Arabidopsis thaliana: one gene and its partners. The protein of the gene in region 3 purifies or fractionates together with the protein of the main gene of each other region. This does not show direct contact. Each region holds a gene or a part of one and is shown on either strand. Other genes may lie near its edges.

The links.
Region 1: the proteins of AT4G28360 (region 3) and AT1G26750 fractionate together in Arabidopsis thaliana (co-fractionation; one large-scale study listed by BioGRID). This does not show direct contact.
Region 2: the proteins of AT4G28360 (region 3) and AT5G55140 fractionate together in Arabidopsis thaliana (co-fractionation; one large-scale study listed by BioGRID). This does not show direct contact.
Region 4: the proteins of AT4G28360 (region 3) and AT5G64670 fractionate together in Arabidopsis thaliana (co-fractionation; one large-scale study listed by BioGRID). This does not show direct contact.

What each region holds. Positions count from the first base shown.
Region 1 is NC_003070.9:9,243,813-9,249,626, reverse strand, and holds AT1G26750 (uncharacterized protein), read right to left. Parts: upstream 2,771-5,814; coding exon 2,676-2,770; intron 2,465-2,675; coding exon 2,342-2,464; exon of another isoform or gene 2,091-2,341; coding exon 1,988-2,090; intron 1,841-1,987; coding exon 1,574-1,840; 3' UTR 1,353-1,573; downstream 1-1,352. Other genes in the region: SDG35 (SET domain protein 35), read left to right, coding at 1-1,323; AT1G26740 (Ribosomal L32p protein family), read left to right, coding at 3,072-3,332, 3,743-3,816, 4,278-4,347; AT1G26730 (EXS (ERD1/XPR1/SYG1) family protein), read right to left, coding at 4,977-5,076, 5,165-5,301, 5,389-5,814.
Region 2 is NC_003076.8:22,376,732-22,382,694, reverse strand, and holds AT5G55140 (ribosomal protein L30 family protein), read right to left. Parts: upstream 1,700-5,963; 5' UTR 1,583-1,699; intron 1,363-1,582; 5' UTR 1,326-1,362; coding exon 1,134-1,325; intron 1,046-1,133; coding exon 908-1,045; 3' UTR 501-907; downstream 1-500. Other genes in the region: AT5G55150 (F-box SKIP23-like protein (DUF295)), read left to right, coding at 1-420; AT5G55135 (uncharacterized protein), read right to left, coding at 2,309-2,566, 2,656-2,736; AT5G55132 (Defensin-like (DEFL) family protein), read right to left, coding at 3,226-3,401, 3,543-3,609; AT5G55131 (Protein of unknown function (PD694200)), read right to left, coding at 5,706-5,890.
Region 3 is NC_003075.7:14,027,295-14,034,082, forward strand, and holds AT4G28360 (Ribosomal protein L22p/L17e family protein), read right to left. Parts: upstream 3,756-6,788; 5' UTR 3,633-3,755; coding exon 3,506-3,632; intron 3,379-3,505; coding exon 3,311-3,378; intron 3,056-3,310; coding exon 2,903-3,055; intron 2,788-2,902; coding exon 2,677-2,787; intron 2,512-2,676; coding exon 2,445-2,511; intron 2,290-2,444; coding exon 2,000-2,289; 3' UTR 1,689-1,999; downstream 1-1,688. Other genes in the region: AT4G28350 (Concanavalin A-like lectin protein kinase family protein), read left to right, coding at 1-1,328; ENODL3 (early nodulin-like protein 3), read right to left, coding at 5,718-6,136, 6,214-6,394.
Region 4 is NC_003076.8:25,850,223-25,856,736, forward strand, and holds AT5G64670 (Ribosomal protein L18e/L15 superfamily protein), read right to left. Parts: upstream 3,846-6,514; 5' UTR 3,659-3,845; coding exon 3,254-3,658; intron 2,965-3,253; coding exon 2,881-2,964; intron 2,783-2,880; coding exon 2,693-2,782; intron 2,580-2,692; coding exon 2,313-2,579; 3' UTR 2,019-2,312; downstream 1-2,018. Other genes in the region: IDL2 (inflorescence deficient in abscission (IDA)-like 2), read left to right, coding at 575-862; AT5G64680 (mediator-associated protein), read left to right, coding at 4,211-4,327, 4,409-4,487, 4,548-4,652, 4,775-5,109.

The DNA of each region.
Region 1 (5,814 bases), on a different chromosome or scaffold from region 3:
ACTCATTTCAAGACTCTTCTTTGTAAAGGTAAAGTTTTGCTTGGATTGAGCAAATACTCTTTGGCTTTGGAATGTTTTAAAACGGCTTTGCTCGATCCACAAGCGAGTGATAACTTGGAGACTGTTACTGTGTATATAGAGAAATGTAAGAAGCTTGAGTTTCAGGCAAAGACTGGAGCTTTTGATTTGTCTGATTGGATCTTAAGTGAGTTTCGTGGGAAATGTCCTGAGCTTGCTGAGTTTATTGGGTCGATTGAGATTAAGAAATCTGAGCTTAGTGGGCGTGGATTGTTTGCTACGAAGAACATTGTTGCTGGTACTTTGGTTTTAGTTACAAAGGCGGTTGCGATTGAGAGAGGGATCTTAGGAAATGGAGAGTGTGGGGAAAAAGCGCAGTTGATCATGTGGAAGAACTTCGTTGAAGAGGTTACTGAATCCGTGAGAAAATGCGGTAGGACTCGTCGAGTTGTCTCCGCTTTGTCCACTGGACAAGGTGAAGATAGTCTGGAGATTCCTGAGATAGCTCTGTTTAGACCTGATGAAGCATTTGAAACTTGTGGTGACTGGAAACAGAGTTTGGATACAGAGAAGTTGTTGAGTATCTTGGATGTGAATTCTCTGGTGGAAGATGCGGTTTCAGGTAAAGTTATGGGGAAGAACAAAGAGTATTACGGTGTAGGGCTATGGACTTTAGCTTCATTCATCAACCACTCGTGTATCCCTAACGCAAGACGTCTTCACGTTGGAGACTACGTGATTGTTCATGCCTCGAGAGATATCAAAACAGGGGAAGAGATTAGCTTTGCTTACTTTGATGTGCTTTCTCCATTGGAAAAACGGAAAGAGATGGCTGAGTCATGGGGGTTTTGTTGCGGATGCAGTAGATGCAAGTTTGAGAGTGTCTTGTATGCTACCAACCAGGAGGTTAGAGAGTTTGAAATGGGTTTAGAGAGAGGCGTAGATGCAGGGAACGCGGTTTATATGGTGGAGGAAGGGATGAAGAGATGGAAGGTAAAAGGGAAAGATAAAGGGTTGCTGAGAGCATCTTATTGGGGAGTTTATGATGAGATTTATAACTCAGAGAGACTTATGAAAAGGTGGGGAAGGAAGATACCAACAATGGAAGTTGTGGTGGATAGTGTCTCTGATGTTGTTGGAAGTGATGAGAGATTGATGAAGATGGCTGTGGAAGGGATGATGAAGAAGCATGGAGGTTTCAGTAACATTGTGGAGATGGAGAAAATCATGAAGCTAGGGAAGGGGGTTTATGGCAAAGTGGTATCGAAAAAGAAGGCAATGAAGACTCTTCTTGGCATAGAGTAACAAGTTACAAATGTTGAAACTAATTGCTTGTAGGATCAATAGAGAGAGTAACCATTTTGGTTTTCTGTAATTCCTTGCCTCATGGAAGGAAACATCCAATGATATTATTACAAAGACATTCAAATGGAAATAACACTTGTTTTGTTGCAAAACATTTGTAGTCAAAGAATGTCATATATGAAAAAAGCCAGTTCTACAAAGAAATTGGATGAGTAGTGTGCATAAAAAGAAAACGATGATTTTGAGTAATTTATTCGTCGATCCAATTATCCTGATTAGCACTTCCTCCGGTTCTGTCTTGCAGCAACACATCTTTCTCATTTTTCAACTGGTTAACTAGCCTGCGGACGCTAGGAGTCTGGAAGCGATCCTTAGCGGATGTCTTCGATTGAGTTATTAACCCTTTCTTGGCACTAGGATACGGTTTAGGAGGTGGATCCTTATCTTGCATTACCGCAAGCTCCTTTAAGCGTTTGTATGCTTTCTTCATTTCCTTTCTCTCTGAAAGATATTCCATCTGAAAAATCATCAAAACACAAACTCAGCAAGTTCGAAGAATAACATCTCCCATGTTCAAAGAAACGGCATCAACAGCAGCGGTACTACGATTCATATCTATTCAAGTATCGTAGCTAATCATAGACTGTGAAAAGAAAATACGTACATTAGCTACAGACATGGCGTCACCCTCACTGATGCCATGCTCCTTCAATTCAAGTACCCGGCAACCATACACACGTGCTTGATCTGGAATAAATGCTGATATCCTAGGTAATTGAAGATGATGCAATGAGAGGGAGATAGATACAGAATGAAAAATGGTGAAACTCTCCCATTGAATCAGAATTTAAGAGTGACACGTGCTTATAGTAATGGGTTCAAGACAAAATTGTTTGAAATTAAACTTCTTTCTATAGTGATGCATATCAGAATAAGCTTTATGAAGAACTAACTCATAACATAATCATCAAACTATCTTTGATACAAATGCAGAGATATAAAAAGTTGAGAATTTTACTTGGCAGGGTCATCAATTTTGGTTCCAGGATGCTTATTAGCGAATTTACGAACGTAAGGATCCTCAGGGAGAACAATCTTCTGGATTTTTCCATTGGAGCGAGGAAACACAGGAGGTGGTGATCTGCCATTAAAACCAAATCACAGAACACTCATTTCAACAAAACCCTCAAAATCCTAATTCACAGATGCCAAAATCTCAACTTTTTGTGCGATTAGAATTCAATTGCATCCGAATTAGAAACCCATTAACGGATGATTCAATAAGGAAGTATCAAATTGATCAATCGAGCCAAATCATTTGGAGAAATAGAAATGGGAGAAGAGAGGGTTACGCTTCCATGGCTTTAAGCCAAACAGGCTCTCGTGTAGCTAAGCCACCAACAAGCCTCCTGGTTTTGGAAAGTAAATCACCTTTCATCCACGACATTGTTGCTGAGCTTCTTCACTTTTCTTCTTCGCTTGATCTGTTATTGTTTTACCAGAGACGACGAAGACACAAGGGTTTCAGAAATGGCTCGATTTGATAAAACCTCATGGTTCATGAATTAAACCGGGTACATCACACTCTAAATTACGGTCTAAAATCGGTTAACAGAGCAATTGTATGGTTCGTATGTCAAAACGCAGCCGTTTCGTAAATACATTTGCCTTGATAAATTTTCACCTCTTTTGGGTTTCTTCTACTAGTCTTCACTTCCGTCAGCTATAGCTTTGGAGAAACTGCATCAATGGCGTTGAGATTGACATCGCTAAAACGCGCCGCGGTTGAGTCCTGTCGCATTTTGGAAACCCGAAGCTTAAGTCATGTCGCTGCGATGCCTTCCCCCTTGAACGGAGCTTTTGATCGCCCGATTTCTATGCCGCCGCTGGTTTTACCTGAGTTCGATCAGAATCAACCGGGTTTGATCGAAGAAAAGAGCTTCGGGTTCGGGCTTCCTAGTTTTGCTTTTAATGGATCCATGGAGCTAATGGCTGTGCCTAAGAAGAAGGTCAAAGAACTCTCAGTCCCTTAATTAGTTTTCTCCTTTCGTTTTCCACTTCTGAAATGATAAAATTTCTTAGGGTTTTGATTTATTGTGGTATCTAGGGTTAGCTTTTTTGACGGAGTCAGGGTTTATCTAGGGTTTTAGGAAGGTGCACTATAGGACTTATTAGTTGATTATGCAATTGAGATACTAAGTGCTAGATTGCTTCTTCTATAGAATCTATCTAAGAAATGTTGTCTCTTTGTGTGTTTTTGAGTGTCCATTGTTTTTCCATTTGCTTGTGTATCTTTGGGTTTAAGTTGATTTGGTTCCTTACTTCCTTTAGGTTCACATGTGAATGAAAATGTGTAATTTTTAATGGCTCCTTGGAGAATGATAGTGTTAATTGAAGCTGTTCTTGATGAAACATGCAGATTTCTAAACACAAGAGAGGGATAAGAAATGGTCCAAAGGCTCTTAAGCCTGTTCCTGTGATCATCCGTTGCAGGTAAGAGATTAGCTTCTCTTCTTTTTCTTTTTTTTTTTGTCCGCAGATTAGCTTCTCTTCTTGTTTTATCTGTTTGATGCTTCTTAATATATCCATTAGGTTGAGTTTGGTATGGGTGTTTAGTTTTGAGGCTGTGATAGAAAAATTCTGTTAGGTTTATCTAGGTTGTTGTTGCTGCAGCAACAGCTGAAGAATAAATGCATATGCTTTGTGATTCATTGTCTCTCCTAACTATCACTTGGTATAAACTGCACTTGAGTAACTAGAACTGTGTATCGTTAACATGTTTGACGAAAGACCTACTTGTGTGCAACATGGTACAAAATATGAGTCTAGTTGTTCGGTTTTGGTATATGTTTGATTTAAAACTTCTTTTGTTTTCATGATCTCATTGTGAGGGCACTTGTATCAGAATTTTATATATGCCGCCAGTTTAAGTGCACACTCTTTTGTGTTTCCAGGAGTTGCGGGCGAGTCAAGCTGCCACATTTCTTCTGTTGCAGCGGTGAGCGGCTAAACCCTACTGAGTAAGGCAATTCGAACAACTGGTCATGGTTTCCAATATGATTACTCCTTGTTGGATATCAAGAGGATAAAATCTTGGCTTTCTTAGTAGTACACTAGAATGATAAAAGACTTAGTTGATGCTGTTTTGGCAAATTATTGTATGCTGCAAGATCAATATTCTCATGCTTCTCTTGACAAATTATGTTATTGTCATTGCTTGTTGCAAAGTGTAGGATTATCTCATTCACTTTTATTTGTGCTCTTAGATTTGGATTCAACAGCTAAATATATTCGAAATGGATAAATATATTCACGTGAAACCATCTATACAAGCTTTTGAAGCTCTCGTCATGTACGCTCGCTGTCTCAATAACCTCTTAGTTTACTCGAGTGTCATTTCAAGGGTAATTTTTGGTTTATCATAGTCAAAGTAGCTCGTGTTTGGTAGTTTTATGGACTAATTTTGGTTTGAGATCTGATTTGGGCACATTGTGATAGCGAGCACAATGATAACCCTAGGTAAGATAGTTATATCCGAAGCCTCATTGTGCTCATTTCCTTCTCTTTAATGATTACAAACAGAGACAAGCAAGTTCTAAACAAAATTGAAACCCCACTCTTTGGAGAAACCTTGATTAGATCTAATCTAAGAGTTAACTATCTCGATCTTCCTCCTCGTTGTAGTTGAATGGTAACGGAACTGATTTGAATGCTCTGAACTTTCCCACATTGTTCAAGTGTTCATTCTCCAACCTGTGTTCGCAAGTCGTCAAAGGAAGAACCCTTGAGTAAAAAATGGTTTAAAGAGAATTTAGTGATCGTGTCGTGGTCAAAAATTTACCTGAAGAAATTCCAGATACCACGACGTATGATCTCAAGAGCAGCAAGAAGAGCAATCATCGTTTCTCGATGTAAGAACGATAAATTGAAATCAAGCACAGTCTGCAACCACGCCATCCTCAACACAATGTTTAAGACCTACAAAGAAGAAGAGGCAGAAACAAAACTTATAAGGAAACCATCAATCAGGAATTGTACTGTTCTTTTGATTTTCATAGTTCTCACGATTGCAACGTAGTAGACGGCTTTGTGAGGAACAAGAAGCTTCTCTCTCAACAAATGTTTAGATGGTCTGTGAAGTAATCCCCAATCAAAAACAATGTCCCAATATGTGCCGTAAAAAGTTGCCAATGCCGAGAAAACCCAGGCAGAGATTTTCCAGATGTTTCCTCTGTTAAAGCTGTAAGCTGTTCTCAAGCAAACAGCCACAACGGTTAATAAATACTTGAGAGCATTGTAGCCTTGACTTGAATCATTCTCTTCGATCAATCTTCGAACACACTGAAGAAAACGTGACCAGTAAGGTATCACAGCAACGATGAAGTAGAATGTACTGTATACATCGCTTGATCTGCAAGTATTTTGCCTGTGCTTGAAGTCTCCCCAACCATAGTAACATATGTAAAACTCCAAACTCCTTAGTGCTTGAAC
Region 2 (5,963 bases), on a different chromosome or scaffold from region 3:
AGCACCTCGCCGTTTCGGTACGACTCTTGCAAGAAATACTTGGCAGAGTCGGATTACGACGAACTGTGGGTGGTCCTAAAGAAGCTGGAGCTTAACGACGATTGTGATTTCGAAACCTCTTTCGAGATTTACGAATTCAATCGCGAGACTAACGAATGGACAAAGGTGATGAGCTTGAGAGGAAAAGCTTTGTTCTTGAGCCCTCAAGGTAGATGTATAGCTGTTTTAGCAGGTGAGAGAGGATTTTTCAAAGACAACTCAGTTTATTTCATTGATGGTGATGATCCAAGTGTAGGAGGATCAGGGCCTCAGAATCTGAGCGTTTTTGAATGGGAGAGTAAGCAAATCATGAAAATTTACCAGCCAAGATCTTGGAATTGTCAGATGTTTTGGGTCACACCAACAGACGTTCCTCAGTGATGAATGACTGATGCATTGTAGAATTTGTAGTTTGCATAGTATAGGTTTTGTATTTCAAATTTCAATTCTTTGATACATTACAATTGTCATCATACATTTTGGTTCTTCATCTGTAACATATATATTAAGTTATGATTATTTCAGCATCTATCTTTCTCTCACTACTTTCATTAATCAAATTGAAAGGTAACTTTTTTGAGAATCAACTTTCACATTCTCAATCTTGAAACATTGGCCACAAAAAAAAAAAAAAACCGATAGATTTGAGATTGACAGAATGAGAGCAAAACATACACAAGTATCCAGTGTATACAAAAAACATAAAGAGGCACCAAACACACTGATACCAACATTTCTTATCAAGCGTCTAGGACTAGTTTACTTCCTGGACACCTTTAGAGAGAACTTAAACATAAGCCGCCTACAATATCCAAGCGGATCTTATCGAACTGACGGTAGAAGAGCTTACCATCTTATGAAAGTACTCTCAAGACATGTTGGATGAATCTGTTGCAGGACTCGAATGACTGACAACGAGAGGCGGGCGCAAAGCTTTGTGGTTGGCTTCTGCTTCTTTACGAGCATTGTACATTTCTTCTGTTTCAACAACAACCATCCTTTTAACCTACATAGAGGCAAAACCAACCATCACAATTTTGAAATCTAGGATTTTATGACAAATGAGAATAGATAAAAAGATAAAGGAAGAGAACCTGATCAATCATTCCCCTAATGGATGAATTGTTTGAATGCAAAACAGTACGATGACATCTACGAAGTCCCATAGCTTCAAGTGTTCGTCTGTGAAGCTTCCTTGTTCCAGGGAGACCTCTTACTAAGGTTATGTACAAGCTCTGGCTCCATTCAATAGGCACTTGTGCTTTGAAAGCTCTAAAACCACTCATTCTTTTTTTTTTTTGTCTCCTTTATCACTCAATCTCTCTGTAACCATTAACAAAATCATAATCAAGCAATCACACAGAATTCACCGTAGAAATCAATAGATACAATAAACGAAGACGATTGATAACATGAATCATGAGAGAGTGAATCATCACGAATTGAAACCAAATCAGATCGATCAATTCAGAAGAAAAGAGGAGCTGCATAACGCGAGATTTCAATTAGGTGTTTGAGATAGAAATGGATGGTTTTCGAGTACCTTGAGGAAACAGAGACGGGAGAAGTCCGGTGAAAGAGATCGTCGACGAGTGTAGTCAAGACGGCGAACAGAGCTCGGAAAATCTTTGAGATTCGCGTTTAAGGGTTTTAAGCTTTTAGCGGAACAATGGTTAAACGACAGCGTTTTGTAGATTAGCTTAATTATTTGGGCTTTATCTGGGCCCAATTATTGGCTCCTTTACCTTTTTATAATTTGTTCAAAAATTACTAGATTGGTTTCATTTTTTTTACATCAATCTTTAGATTTATTAATCTTGCAAAAACAATTTATTTCAGAAAGTGTATGATGAACAGTCAAATTCCACTGCTCTCATCACTAGTTCTAACCTCTAAATTGGTAAAAGCTATTTGCTAGGTAGGTGTATTATTTAAGGTTTTTCTACCTTCTATAAGTTCAATAGCTTTAAATCTTGGGGTTGATCAATATTATTACTAATGAGTAATGATGCATTATTAAAAAGAGAAAATTATCAAAGTAAATTATATTTATACAAAAGTAGTAGCTAAATTACATAACTAAAAGAAATCGGTAAACTTACAAATATTGGTAGACAAGAAAAAGAGAGAAAAAGGGCAACCGTTCTTCTATCCATTACTCGATTTATTATACAAAGTACATGAAGCCTATAATATTACATACATGATACATGATGCATATTATTACATACTACTACTTTACAAGTGATATCTAACAAATGCACATACGTTATATTCCTTTAGCCGTGTTGATAGGCAAACCATCATCATCATCCTCAGGTCTCTTCTTATAATTATAGTCTTTCTTATCTAAAAACGCCTCTTTCACCTTCTCCACATCCGCCTCAGAATCACCGGAGACGTTTACCGCCACCGCAGCTCCGTCAAAAGCCTTCTCAACTGTTTGGCTAGCAACACCTTGTCTTGTGAACTCCTCCGCCGTCGAAGAAGCTCTTCCTTCTTCCCTCCCTCCACTCGCACTTCCTCTCTACATATTAAGAAAACATCTCCAAAAATCTTTGTATATATATATAGTTAATCTATTTCATGAAAACGTAGGAATATCAGAATATATACCTTGAGATAAAAAGAGTAAATACATGATGTTGTTATATTAGGCTTGGAGATTGATTTTGGGTTCACATAATTTCTCAACATTTTTTCTTCGGAGGTCTCTTATTTTTGCAGCTTAGATTAGATCAAGTACCATAGATGAATTTTCCTATAGCAGTTAATTGAGACTTTTGATGTCTCATCAACGGAGGTTATGATTATGATGCCACGTGTGTGTGATGCGCCGTCGTAGCCAAAAGATGACATGTTTCCCAGGGTTAGTCACGACGTCATGCAATTTCCTTTGTAGTTAAATCCAATATACGAAGATTTCTATTTCATATTCTACAGTTTCATACATAACTTTACATGATCGATTTGACAAAATCGATGTCCTAATGACATTAACTATAAGTCGAACCGCTGTCGTTTTTCTTGTGGATTTTATTGTGTACATGTATTGAATTCTTATAAACATTTTGATGAGAGAGATTGGGGGTTGGATCAGGATGAGATTATATCAATTATCATTATATAAATATATGTTTTTAATAATATCTTATGATCGAGAGTACATATAGAATAAGAGATCAATCAATTGATGACCGGACTGGAGATGGGAGAATTAGAATAATTGTTGCAGCAACAAAATATTTTAACAGCCCCGTGAATTTTAGCGCTTTCACAATACCCTCCGCCTCTCATCATGCATCTTGTATTGCATCCTATTGTGCTTTTACATCCTTCCGTACATTTATCTGAAATTAGTCCTATACGATTTTATAAATAAAAAATTCATCAACAAAAAATTTATAAGCAAAAATGGTCAGTTTAATATTGAAAACTGTAGTTTTTTAAGAACAATTTTTTTAAAAAAAATATATAATTTGTATAACAAATAAATGTGTTACCAGAAATCATAGGTATGGTGAGGAGAGCAAACACCATCAACGTAAGTAATCGATGAGATGCAACCATTTTGGTTGTTATTTGTTATTCTTTCAAGATGATTCTATACCTGCTTCTCAAAACCTATTAAAAGCGAATTTCAAAGTTATTGTTATAACAAAAACAAAAATCTAGTAACATATTCTAAATATTTTATATTATTTTTGACTTACCTTTTGTATTTGTAATATTTCAGTACTTATTGAGAATGATTTGTGGTGGTCTTGGATGTACATTTATATAGACATACGTATATACATATATATATATATATGTAAATAATAAATCTTCCATATTATTCAAGGATTTTTTCTTCTTTTTTATAGTCTTATTTGGGTCAGATAATAATTTTAGTCAAAATGTTTCATTATTTATTCTTATCTGTCATTGGGATTATATTTCATTCAAATTTAGTTTATTTTAATAGGTAAATAAATAAATTCGTAAGTTCATGAATTCTCTTAAAAACCCAACCGGTCTACCAATCTGGTTCGCGGTTAAATCCGGTTAATGACAATAAAAATAGTCAACGTACGTTTTGTCCCGTTGACTGACATCGTCTTCTTTGCTGCTTTAACCTCTAGGGTTCTACTATTGGCTCTTTAAACATTGTCGTGATGGAGTCGGACGTCGGAGATTCGTCGGAAATTGTTCGGTAATTGGAAGAGTTAAAAGCTCAAGAAGACAGAAATAGAGCACTTTATTTCGACCCTCGAAGCTAAGCTCCAGGATACGGTGGCAGTTGAACGGTACGACGACGTATACTTTGATTATGATCCATGTTGATCTCGTCATGATGATCATTTTGTCGAGATAGCCGGTAAAGTCTATAGTTCAGTGTTGTTGCCTATCCAAATTTTTGGTTATGATCCGATCAACAAACAGTCAATCAGTTTCAAGGTATCGTCGAGTATCAACTTACACATGCAAGATTTGTATCTACTTGCACAAATCATCTTGTTAGTATCAACTTCTCACAATACATAGAGATTGACAATAAGATATCCAGATTGTGTTGTATCCAGATTACACAAGATATCCTTTCTTCATCTTTTACTACAATCTCGAGAAAAATATTATCACAAAAGTAAGAGTTTAAGCACCAATATTATTTTAAGTGACAAATCCAAACTATGTAGAACATGTTAAACTTTTCATGTAAGGGTTTAGTCCTTTCAAACAGAACTAATCACAACATTTATCTTTGTTAAAAAAAATGTAAGAGGTACTAATTTTCTTCTCATATCGTAAGAGTTACTAACTTTTTTTGGGAACGACAACCAATTTCTCCACTAATCAATATTTTCTTCTTTCGTTAGCCTTGTCCACCAATCCATGGAAGTTAGGCATTGTCGTTTCGGGTCCTTGAAATAAAACTTTGGAGATGTTGTCGATTTTTTTTTTTTTCTTTCTAGCAGTAATTTTGATTCAAAGACATGGGACGTTTGTACTTGTGCAAAACAAACTAGATATTCGTTTCCTTTAAACAAGTTCGGTTTACTTTCTCCACCTCCATCTCAGAATCACCAGAGACGTTTGCAGCCGCTGCAGCTCCGTCATAAACCTTCTACAATCTCTTATCATCATTGTCTGGCTAGCAACACCTTGTCTTGTGAACTCCTCCGCCGTCGAAGGAACTCTTCCTTCTTCCCTCCCCCCCACTCGCACATCCTCTCTACATATAAAGAAAACACCCCAAAATATTATCTTATTGTATATATATATAGTCAATTTATTTCTATATTCCATGAAAACGTAGGAATCTCAGAAATATATATGTACCTTGATATAAAAAGAGTAAATACATGATCTTATATTATGCTTGGCGATTGATTTTGTATTTACAGTTTCATGCATAAGTTTTCGTATTTACAAAATCATCTTTGGAAGTGAACATTGAAAGAAGTAGTTTTTTTGGTTGCGAAGATTAGAGAGGTAAGACAAAATCGATGTCCTGATGACACAATAAACAAAACTATAAGTCGAGCCGATCGATGTAGTTTTCTTATACATGTACATCAAACAACATGATGAGAGGGGGGGGGATGAGATAATATCAGTTATTATTATTTGAACATACGTTTTTGATTCTTATAATCGAGAGTACATATAGAATAAGAGATCAATCAATTCATGACCGGACTGGAGATGGGAGAATTTGAATAATTATTGCAGCAACAATAATTTTCAATAGCCAATCGGCCGTGACTTCTGCCTATATATGCTTGACAATGCCCTCCGCCTTTCTTCATGCATTTTATATTGCATTCTGGTGTGCTCGTACATCCTTTTGTACATTTTGATGATTGTCCTATTCGGTTCATAAACAAATTCATCAACAAAAAATTTAAAAGCAAAAATGTCCAATTTAATATTTTAGAGTT
Region 3 (6,788 bases):
GATTCACTGCCTCCACAGGACAACTAGTGCAGAGCCATAGGATTCTCTCATGGAGTTTTAGTAACTCCAATTTCTCCATTGGTGATGCTTTGATCACTAGGAATCTACCTTCGTTTAAATTGTCAGGTGACTCTGTTTTGAAGTCTAAAGGCTTCATTGCTGGGGTCTCTAGTGGTGTTGTGTTGTTAGTCTCTGTTATTGGGCTCCTCTGTTTCTACGTTGTAAGGCGTCGAAGGCAGAGACTAGAAGGAGACGTGGAAGATTGGGAAACAGAGTATTGGCCTCACAGAGTGCAATACAAAGATGTTTTGGAAGCAACAAAAGGGTTTTCCGATGAGAACATGATCGGATACGGAGGGAATTCTAAAGTGTACAGGGGAGTGTTGGAAGGTAAAGAAGTTGCGGTTAAGAGAATAATGATGAGTCCTCGAGAGAGCGTTGGCGCGACGAGTGAGTTCTTAGCTGAGGTCTCGAGCTTAGGGAGGTTGAGACACAAGAATATAGTTGGACTAAAAGGTTGGTCTAAGAAAGGAGGAGAGAGTCTGATATTGATTTACGAGTATATGGAGAATGGAAGTGTCGATAAGCGGATATTTGATTGTAACGAGATGTTGAATTGGGAGGAAAGAATGAGAGTGATAAGAGACCTAGCCTCAGGGATGTTGTATCTACACGAAGGGTGGGAGACAAAGGTGTTACATAGAGATATAAAGTCAAGCAATGTGTTGCTTGACAAGGATATGAACGCGAGGGTAGGTGATTTTGGGTTGGCTAAGTTGCAGAACACTAGTAAAGAGATGGTTAGCACGACACATGTTGTTGGAACAGCGGGTTATATGGCGCCTGAGTTGGTTAAGACAGGGAGAGCATCAGCGCAAACCGATGTGTATAGCTTTGGAGTGTTTGTGTTGGAGGTAGTGTGTGGAAGGAGGCCAATAGAGGAAGGAAGAGAAGGGATAGTGGAATGGATATGGGGACTAATGGAGAAAGACAAAGTGGTTGATGGTTTAGACGAGAGAATAAAGGCGAATGGAGTGTTCGTGGTCGAGGAAGTGGAGATGGCTCTGAGAATAGGACTGTTGTGTGTGCATCCTGATCCGAGAGTGCGTCCGAAGATGAGACAAGTGGTGCAGATATTGGAACAAGGGAGATTAGTGGAGGATGGTGGTGAAAGGGAAATAAGCTTGTTGGAGAGAGTGAAGAGCTCTTACTTGTTGGAAACTGGTGAGGGAAGCAGACAACAACATCCCACGTTCCAAGATGTATGGAATTCGTCTTCTTATTCTAATTCCTTCCAAACTTATGATTCTATTCTTCATGGAAGGTGAAAAAACTAGCCTGGGAGTATTTTTTAATCGAATTTCTATACTATTAGTTTATACATGCTGTGTGATTCTTTTGTATATAAGATTGTATGTATTTGATGACTAAATTGCATGAATCATTTTGGGATGATGGTAGGGGCCTGTGACTGTTATTTATTATTATTACTATCAATTATAATGATATTAAAATTGAATTATGTTGTAACATAGTGACAAAACAAATATCATATTAATAATAAAAAATTAAAATATAAATTTCTTAAATAAATGACTAAATAAATATTCTCAACAAACAAAATGCATATGTATATTCATTCATTTATTCTTTTAATATCCAAAAATTGCATTAAGAAGTGGAACAAACTGATAAAAATTATGGACCTTCGGGATTATGATGATAAATGTTGTTTTGATTCGTCAAATTATCCAGACGATTTTTTTCCATGTTTCCAACACAAGTTACATCCAAAATGATTGTTAACACCTCCAGAAACAGAATGGAGAAAAACAGAGACGCTTTTGTTAAGTGAAGTTTCCTCTCTGGGAACATGTTTATTGAATACAAGAAGCAAACAGGTCCTATAGAGTTCCAATACAATATCAAACCAAAACCAAAAAAAAAAGCAATTTACCATAACAGAGAAGCTCTTGTTGCAATTGCGGGAACAAAGATACTAGTGAGACGACCGTACCAACTCTGAGGACCGATGATTGGCTTTGGTACCTCTGCGGTTCCATATTGGACTTGTCTCGATGAGCTTGTGTGGTACAAGCTGTCTCTCCCGTTTGCTTTTCTTCTTAAAATTGTGAACTTTGAGCCTTGCAATCTCAGCTTCTTCCTCTGGAGTCGTCTCTCTAACTATGACTGTTAGGCGACACCGGGGTATTGATATAATCCCGCTTCTTCCTTTTGCATGGTAAGCTACCTTCTTCCCAAACAGTCCCTTCCCAACAAATGCTTCCGCTGCAATCACATATCACAAGCTTAGATGAAATACATCGTTCTGGCATATCATGTTTGCTTCCTTAAAGTACCAATCGGCGAACTCTCTAAAATATCACGTTCTCTTTTTAAATGTAAAACAAGGAAATCAGGGATCCAGAATCAGTTTTACATACCAACAAGGAGACGGTCAGGATCTAGTCCATGGTTATGAGTAGCATTTGCCCGGGCAGCGTGGATAACCTGCAGTATAATGTATTTAACTCCTTTAAGCATTGTATTAACAAAACAAGTTGTATGCTAAGTATCATTAGATGAGGAAAGTTATCAAATGCCTGGAGAGGAGATTAGACTAGACACTCGAAATCCAACAGTGATTTGTTTGTAAACTCGGATCTCAGAGATTACCCGGTACACAGTTTGTGCAGCTCGTTTGACTGTGACCTGCAATTGGATCAAAGCATCTTCAACACGCATGCCACGGACTAGTGCTGCAACCAGGTTGACCTTCTTAGGACTCTGAAAACAAGCAAGGTTGGGCACATTATATAACTAGATTGAGATGGAAAAATATTAAACGAAATGGAGCAGATCATCTGAAAAGTAAAACTGTTCTAGGAGTTAAAGAAGACACCTGCTTTATAGACTTGAGGACAGCCTGAACTTTCTGACGCTTTGGGATAATCTTCTGCTCTTCTTCTTTTCCACTACCCAACAGAGCTGGAGATGACAAAGGTGATGATACAGGCTCTTCACTCGCCTGCAATTGTCTCGAGGTAGAGATCCCCTGAAAACATACCCAAATTGAAATTTCATACCCTAAAGTACAGGTCCCTAAGTTGACTAGAGACGCATAGTTCCAAAAGATGAGTCTCTTCGCCTAATTCACATGGATAACAGATATAGTCTCCCACTAGCAACATTCTCACTTCCCAAATTTTGAAATTCGATTTTTCAATGCAGCAACAAATTTGCTATATCAGGAAACAAGAAACTCCAATCTCAGTAAAACACAAAAGAAATGTCGATTCAAATGCATTACCAGTTGTTGTAGATGATGATACAGTGGTCTGGAGGAGTAGGATGGTCTCAGGAGACTCTGCAAGTAACCTATAATCACCAGCAAAAAAACTCAACTCAAACACACAATTCACAAACACGAAGACCAGATAACACATGCCCTTTGAAAGACCCACTAAGAAACACACTAGATTTCGGAAATGATCAAAAAGTCAACCTTGTGAGAAAGGGGATTCTAAATTCCGAGTAGAAGAAGAGTAATTTGCTGTAGAAATGTGACTGTTCTTCACTCTTCTACCAACTTGACGAATAACAGTCTGCAAATTCCTCTTCCAACCCACCATTTTGTTTCTGAAAACGCTAAGGATATGAATCAGAGAATGTAAACGATTGGCTCAATGCCGGTTCTACGGGTTTTCGAGGAGTTGCATCTGAAGCTACAGTACTACTGAAGAAACAAAATTAGGTTTTGTGGGGAAGATGATGAACACACCAAATTTGGGCCGAGCCCGTTACGTTTAAGCTTTGAGAAAAGGCTGGATTATGGGCCTATGACATCCGAGTTTATTTTATCTTTTTGGTTTCTATCCACATTTGATTGTTGAGAAATTAATAATATTGTTTTATCTTATGTTTAATTAGTAAGAGCTTATTAAAATTTATTTTATGGATTTTATTATACATTTAATTTATAGAAAAAAAATTCTAGTTTAAATGCATTAAATTCCGGTATATTAACTTTTAGAAAGATATTTTTTGAAGTAATTAGTTTTGATAAGTTTAAGAACCTAATGTGTTTTGTAATTATTATTAAAATATGTTGATGTTTTTGCTTTCTACACTTGCAGGTCCGTGCGATAGGAGAAGGGATGAGATTTAGATTTGGACATGTAGATGATGAACTAGCACATATTAGGGATCAACACCAGCAACTAATTTCTCTTCTCTGTGCCATTGCAGCAAATATAAGAGGTGACGGAGCAGAGCCGTGCCAAGGTCAATGGTTGCCGGAGGCGGCCAAATGAAATTTGCCCCAATTCACAAGCAAAGATGCTTATAATAATAGAAGTAAAAGTGTTTACAAAAATAAATTGTCATATGACAAAAGATTCAAAGTTAATTTTTTTAACCAATTCTATATCGAATGCTTTAACCTAAATTTATAATGCTTTGTTCTGTTTTATTTATTTATTCTGTGAATATTTTTCTATTTTTAATTCTATATTTTTATTATTTAGGTAAATGTAAGTGATTTGTCAATATTAAACCTATGAAACTAAAGTTATCTTGTAAAAATATATGCTCCTAAGTTTTTTTCAAAAATTTGAGGACGTAGGCGAATGTTTCTTTCTTTTGCCTTGAGGCACGGCTCTGTGACGGAGTCCCACCACCTTTGGTGGGTAAATTTATTAGAGGTCCTTAGGTGGTTGGAGGTGGAAGCTATACTTGTGTATTATTTCATAATATTGCCCATTTCATCAAGTTGTTGGCCTATCAGTTTTGTCTTATCATCCACTGCTTGAAAATCTTGTTCTAGTCGCATGAAAATCTCCTAATAAAATTTTAAGATAGTTAAGAGACTTTGTTGTTTTTTTGATGGTCAATAGCAAATGGTAGTAGATACCCGCATTTTTATGAATCTATATCATATTCCAAACAAAAGACTTCCAAACAGGAGCGTCCATACTAGAGACATTAGAGATCCAGAATCAAACTTTCAACTTTCGACCCAAGGGCTGGTATTAGTCTTACAACAGCCACATCCACAACAAGAGGCAAGCTCTTCAACAAAAAAGAGTCAATCGGCTTTATGATTGAGTTAACAACCTAAATACCAACTATTTCATTGGTAATTTGATCTGCAAAAACATACAATAATTAACATAATTTAAATTTTTTGTCATATAGCCGTCTTAGCTCAGTGGTAGAGCGCGTGGCTTTTACCCACGAGGCCGTGGGTTCGATCCCCACAGACGGCGGTAGTATATTTTTTTTGTTAACTCCTTGACATATTCTCTCTATTGGATTTCGGTGTACCGGTTTAATATATTGATTAAAGTTAAATTGTTCAAACCATTCTTATATGTACAAAAAGTGTATAAGATCTATTTATATGTTTCAACAAGATTTTAGTTTGTGTGGAGAAGTTTTATTGCATGAGCTATGTGAACTCTACATATTCGTCGTATATATTCATATTAGTGTGATCATAATTAAAACACAAAATAAAAACATTCGCATCTAATCAATACAAAAAAACATCTTAAATATTTTCTTTAGTAAGAACAAAAACGAGACAGCGGAAACATTAAAAATGGGTTACAAGATGCTTCAAACATACAAATAAAAAGGCACATAAATATGAAACTCAATGGTAGAGTAATTAATACCCTCACAAATTTAATGACTAGCGACAATATATAAACCCCTCAAAACAGAGAACTTATCATAATCACAAGAACCACCATCCCCGGACCAACCAAACCGGCCGAATTGGGAGCTGTAGCCGGTCCTGGAGCTGGAACACGAGAGTTTGAATCAGATGATGGTTCCACTCCTGGAGAAGGCCCCGGCGAAGACAACTCCTGATGGACCGGAGACGGGGAGGGAGAGGTATGACGAGGAGAGTGGCTGTGGTGGACGGTGGACAAGACCTTGACGGCTAGCTTCTGACCTTTAAGACAGTTTTGAGAGTTGCCACTAATGAAAAAGTAGGAACCTGAGTGGCTAAGTAGGAAGAGAGAGTCTCCGTCTGAGAGGGAAGTCAGGGGGTGTGTCGTGTTGCATGTGTTGTACTCTTGTTCAGTCACCTCCAACACTGAATCTTTTCCCTTGGCGTACTTAAAATCTTGTAAAAATCAAAATTACTATGCATTAATATTGACACATTGTGTATATATAGTAGAGAAGAGGAAATAGACTTACGAAGAGTGTCGTTGACTTGAAACCGGTTTCGGTGAGACCAATGAGAATAATCTTCGGAAGGAGTCGGGACCCAACCATCTTTCCCACCAACATAGAACTTGTATCCATTTGATATCGTAAACCCTAAACCCATCAACATCACAAACATAAGGTAAAGATCAAACCTCATGACCAAACCCATCTCCGATGCAAAACGTTAATCAAACCCCAACTTCTTACTAACTCTTTTGAAGTGAGTGTGTGTGTGTGTGTGTGTTTGCAACCTCAAGAGGTGCTTATTTATGGTGAAAGTAAAGAAAACATAGCCGTTAGGTCAAGCTTTTTGGGCTGTGCATCGATTACCTAAAGAAATGCGAATTAAGTAGAAGCGTTTTGGTTTTGCTCCTGTCTTCTTTTGAACACGTCTCGACATGCAGTGGACTTAACGGCTATCTACCTTTAATTTTTCACTTTCTTTCTCACAAACAAACATTTCTCACTCAGATCTTGTAATTATTTAGCCATCAAATATAAAATTGTAATCCTTTAGTATTTATTATTATTTAAAACTTACGTTACATATTGTTTTATTTTAT
Region 4 (6,514 bases), on a different chromosome or scaffold from region 3:
CTTTCAGTAAACAAATCTTCGTTCCCTATAATTTTTCAGATCATATGTGGGTCAAGTAAAAAACACTCCCCCTTTAACCTAAACCACTTAATGACAATAAGTCTACAACCATTTTGTGTGCTTAGTTACCATAAATTTTGCCTTAATAATTTAAGAACTGTAAATATTTGTGCCCTGCAACATTTTTTCAATAAACCTAAACTATCAACAATTATAAGTCTAAAAAAATCTACCACCAAACAGTTTCTTCGGCTTGTAGACCAAAACCAGTTGTCAACAAGTCTACAACTACTTGCATAGTTGAATAGTTCGTGAAAAAATAAAGAGAAAGTATATATCAGAAGTAATTAAATACACACGAAAACATAACTCAAAAACCTCTTCTTAGTCAGATTCTCTCTCTATCTATCTCTCTCAATCTCCATCTGCCCATATTTCTTGCTGTCAACAAATTCATTCAGCAATCTCCTTTTTCCCCATCAACAACAAACAAAAAATAAAGTCCTTTCACAACAATTATATTTAGAACAAATTCACCAAAAACCCTTCCACAAAAAACCTCTCTTCTTCAACAATGTCGTCTCGAAACCAAAGATCAAGAATCACCTCTAGTTTCTTCGTCTCCTTCTTCACTAGAACCATTCTTCTTCTTCTCATTCTTCTTCTTGGTTTCTGCAATGGAGCAAGAACAAACACGAACGTCTTCAACTCGAAACCACACAAGAAGCACAACGACGCCGTTTCTTCTTCAACTAAACAGTTCTTGGGGTTCTTGCCACGTCACTTCCCTGTTCCAGCTTCTGGTCCCTCCAGAAAACACAATGATATTGGTTTACTTAGTTGGCATCGATCTTCTCCGTGAGAAAAAGCTTGAAAGGTCTTGAATTTTATTTTCTTTCTTTCTTTTAATTAGTTATATGTTTCTTTCATTCCGGTTCCTCTCTTTTACCCTTTGCTTTTGAGTTTTAAGTTGGTGTAAATGTTTTTTATTTTATTTTTTTTTGGTAATGCCAAGAAAATGGTTATTTTTGTTTGATTAATGTCGACAAGGCTAAACATATGATTTATTATTATGAAATTGTAATTGGAAGTTGTATTATTTTTTGGATAGCTCGAATTTGTAATATTGCACGTATCAAAGTGTGTGAGCCGATCATCCTCATGATATACACGTGTTCTTGTTATTATAATAATAATTTAACTATCTGAAAAAGTTTATGATTAGTTCGAAAATTGACTTTGAATATTATATCACAAGGACTAATTTGTATGTGTGTTTGTAAAAGAATAGATCAAATCTTTAAACTTTAAAGAGGTTTGAAATATATGGTGTAACTAAAAAGTCTGATGTAGAATGGTCTTGAGATTTATAATCGACTTTTTTCTTGGGATCTATCGATTTGTTTTAATGATAACCAATAATGTCTTTGAAATGTCTATTGTGATTTGTCAATGTGATGGACCAAGGTTGCATCTAATTCTATAGCCATTTAATTTATTTTGACATTAAACGTGACATTTATGCCGGAAGGTGATCATCAATAGGTACATAAGATCAGAAAGGTGTGATCAATAGAAGAAGATAAACAGAAACATTTTTAAAATATAGTGTATGATATTGAACTGCACTTGATTTTAAACAAATACGTAATGATCATTTTTAAAGACAAATAAACCGATCTAATTACATATTTATTTGATAATAAAATACCAATCGAGTACTCTTTTTTTTTCGTAGTTATTTAATATAATCAATGCTATAATTAACAGTACAGTACTCATCATTACATGTTTGTTAAGAGTAATGAGTTCTGAAACCTCGAAATCTATCTTCTTCTTCTTTAATCACGTTCGGTTGTTCAAATTCAGACAATCATAGCCCCTTTTCGATAAATTAGGTAAATTTCGCACATCGTTTTGGTAAAATAACACTGCAAAAAAGGGACATAATCTCATAACCTATATATTTGCAGTTGCAGATTTTAGCATCTTTAGTCAAAAAAAGCAAAGTTACCATTGAACTCATTAACATTAACAACGCCTCAACCAAACCGGATAATAATGAATTCAAATCTAACGTGATTGTTCTCTGGTTTTCTCAACCTTCTACAAGAACAGGCCTTGATCCCAAACAACAAGTCTGAAAATGGTTGAATAACTTGTTGTGGCCAACTACAGATAAAGTAAAACGAGAAAGACCTTATTTGTCAAATTAAAATCCGACATTCTCAATTTTCTAGTGGTGAACATTGACCAAGAAACAACACAAACAACTTAAACAGAAACATCAAACGTTAAATGGCAGCCCAAAATTATGATTCAACAGGAGATTCAACTTTGGTCTCCTCAGCTGCAAAGAAGGGAATGGGTTTTTTCGGAGCTGGAAGACGTCCAATGCTATCAACCTTATCTTGTTGTTTAGGAGGTGGTCGCGCTGCTTTTGGCAATAACCTTCCTTTCTTCTCAAACCATTCCGGTTTAAGCAATGCCCTTAAGCCCAACTTGTTGTAATACACTCTTCTCACTGATCCTCCTGCTGCTTCCACCACCTCTTTGGCCCTAACCGTCACTCTCGAAACCTGTAATAAACACGCTCATACCGATCAACTGAACATCTAACTAAGCAAATACATTGACTGGTGCAACGGCTCTAGAGACTACAGAGCAAAAGTTAATAACGCAAATGATAAACCTCGAAATGAAGTGGCCATTTGATATCATCAGCACCACGACCCATTAGTCTTACTCCATCTTCTATTTGCTTTCCTATGGCTCCCACATCCTGCAAACCGACGTTAATGTGTTCAGTAAGAATCAGACATATTAAGAATCCTAAACTCAATTTAAACCGTTGAATCAAAGAGTGAAGTATGACCGAACCTTGAGCGTTTTCATTGTAATCAATTCATGAGAATCTATCTTCCCAGCGTTTATGAGTTTAGCAATCTTCCCTAGACCAACCGGCTGCATCACAAAACAATCATAAACATCTTTAGTCGCTGCATCAATAGAGTGTCAAATCCTAAATCCTTACACACACAGTATAACCTACTTCACCACAAGCAGCTAAAGAACAGCAATAATGGCATACAGAAAGAAGAACAAGAGTGATCCATCTGATTTAGATTCTCAAATTCGACCTAATCTAAGGAATCAATCACAAATGTTAACCCTTCGAATCAAGGGAAGCTACAAAATCCGAAACTTGACCTCAGAAATGAAAATCCCAGAACTAAAAGGCACAAGCTTGAACCTGAAAATGGAGCTTAAATTTGTTCTTGAAGCCACGTTTGGGTAAACGACGTCGTAGTGGAGTCTGACCACCTTCGAAACCAAACTTCATCGTTCCTCTCGCTTTTTGCCCCTTGTGACCTCTTCCAGCAGTTTTACCTTTACCAGACCCAATACCTCTTCCTTTCCTCGTCTTGAGTTTTCTCGGCACATTGTCTCTCAGATCGTTCAAGCTCAATAAACTATAAGCCCTGATTCCTTGAAACGACAAAGCCCTGCTCGTAGAGGTCGGAATTTGAGTAGAGATCGGAGAAGGACGGCATTGAAGAAGTGGTGAAGAAATGATGAATCTGGGTTTCGCGGTTTGATGAAACGAAGAATTGATGAGTGATGTTGATATGATCGACAAGAGTCTTCTTCTTAACATTTCTTCGTTGCGGGATCAAGTAGATTTCGATTTTAGAGATCTCCTGATGAAATTTTGATTATTCCATTTTGGGGATTTAGGGTTTATGAGATTTCAGTGAAGAGCTACTGAATCATCCATCACCATTGCTTTCTTCTTCAGTACTGTCACTTAAAGGCCCATTATGGCCCAAATGTCTTTTCCACCCGCCAATTCACTAAACTATGTCGTTTTGAGTGAACTTCAAAATAAAATAAAACAGAGAAATAAATTGGGAAGGGTTTTAGGTCATCGCCGAATTGCTATTTCTCCGGTAACGATTCTCTCTCTTTTCCGCCGCCGACGAAGCCATCTTTCTTTCTCTTTAGCTTTCTCGTTCCGATTTGCATCCAGTTTCTTGATTTTTCTAACTAATTTATGTCTTTTGAAGAGATTTATAATTGCGATTTTGACAGAGTTTGAGTTTGTTCAAAAGCTTTGTTTATTATATATGTTAAAGCTCTCGCTATATTTAACACTTGTTTTCTCGATTTTGCAGGTTTTGTGAAATCGCGAGAGCTGATTTGAGCAGAGATGGATTTCGATTTCAAAGTTTCCGGAGATTTCATAGTCAGTGGCGCAGAGCAGCTAGATGACACTGATTTGACGCGTTCTGATGAGTTTTGGCTTATCCAAGCCCCTTTAGGCCAAGTATGTTTAGAGAATGATTCTTTATTGCAAATTTGATCCTCATGTAATGTTCTACAGCTAAATGACTTTTCTTTATCGCAGTTTCCAGAAATCGAAGAGAACACTCTTAAGATTGAGCCAGACAAAGATGGGTTATTTGGAGAATTCAAGGATTCAAATGGTATGTTTATGTTTTGTGTTCTTTCATACTCTTTAATATTTTAGTTTTGATCTCCAAAAGCTGGCTCATTACACCTTTGTTTAGGTGCAAAGTATGATCTTGCTAGCTTTCATTCTCAAGATGCTGGTGCAGAGTTGATTATACCTTCTGAAGAATCAATGATTGGTATATTCCCATTACTTTACAGTTGTGTCTTGTTTAGGTTTTGGTCGTTCAGTTTACACAGTTTTGTTTTACCACCTGTTTCGTTAATAATGATTCTTCTGTTGTTGTTCGTTTTATGATAGTTGGGAAGATTACTCGGCGAGTTGCATTAGTTCGTTACCCTGAACCAAACGAGTTGCTTCAGAAAATGAAGGCTAGAACACAACAGAAGCTTGTCGGATCAGTGACGAATTCCTCTAAGAAATCATCTAACCTTACTCAAAGCAGCCGGCATAAAAGCGGCACACGTAGCAGCAGAGAGAAGAGCATGTTCTCTGGCTTCACCGAGACTCCAAAGTCGCCAAAAAGAAAAAATTCAGAGTCTTCCTCAGGTAAACATCGGAGCTCAACAAGTACGGTTTCAGGCTCTTCAGAACGATCAGCAAAGTCCAAGAAGAAGGTGAAGAAGGAAGAGTAAAGATCTTTGCTCCTGTTTTTTTCAAAGAGAATGTTTGTGACTGTTAAGATGTTGAATTTCGATTATGCAGATGATAAACAGCCAGTAATGTATTCAAATTCATAAGTTATTTCGCCGTAGATGCTTATAAAAGTTCAAGCTTATTAGCTACCATGGAACAAAGTAAAAGTAAAATACAGCTTTTCAGCTATGTTTGTTGTTCTTTTGTCTTCAAGCCTCTGTGGTTGGAGTTGTTGCAGAGTCTTGTGATATTGGCTTCCATTGTTGCGGAGTTTGAGCTTTCGTTATCGAGAGAGCATGGATTTCTTTCATCTCTTCTTCAAGAGCAGCGTTCACAATACGGTGCCTCTCGAGCAATCTCTTCCCCTCAAACTGTTCCGAGATAATCTCAACCACAAAACTCGCGCCACAGCTGGGAAAAAAGGGTAAAGTTTAAATTGAAAACTGGAGATGAGATGTCAAAGGTCGATGATTGAATAAATGGTATAGTGATCATAAGACTTTACCCTCCAGATGTGTCGATGACTTCCTGGTTTTACACATGAATTAAACCAAGTCAGTGATGTTGTTATAAAGAAATAAGATCACTTATGCCCAAACCACATAAGTGAGTAGTCATGTTAATATGGGCTAACCCACCCCAATTAAACCCACCCCATTTAAAGTGACAATATCATTTCCATAGCCATTTGCTTTATATCCTCATCATCACAAGTGACGTACTTCTTCAATAGTAATTCAATCCTCCATACTTGGGTGAAGTATACATTCGATGTCGGATACTTGGAACCTGAAATATAAGTAGTGATTACACTAAATGGCTTCAACAAGTCACAAATCTTTTCACCACGATCCCACTCATCATCTGATGGTAAAGACTTATAATTGGTGTCAAAAGCCTTCATGCTATCAAATGCTTTTCTAAACTTCAATGCTCTAGCGAGCATTTCATATGTAGAGTTCTATCTGGTTGGAACATCAAGAGATAACCCTGCCCCACTCCTTATTCCCACTCTCTCTACACAGGCTGCAAATGCCTCTTTCCTCTGTGGAGATGCTTTAACATATAAAACACTTTCTCGAATGTTGTGTAAAACATCCTTAGCTAACTCTAAACCTTTCTTGACAATGATGTTAAGAATATGAGCACAACATCTAATGTGCAGAAATTTCCCATCACATAACAAACCACTGCCACTAATCATCTGAAGCTGACCCTTGAGGATTTTCACCATACTATTATTATTGGTAGCATTGTCTAGAGTCATAGAAAGTACCTTTTTTTCTAGTCCCCATTCCTTTAAACAATCAAGAATCCTATTAGCAATATGTTCACCAGTGTGCGGAGACTTCAACTCACAAAAATCTAGAATATAACTGTGTAAATGCCAACCTTCATCGATAA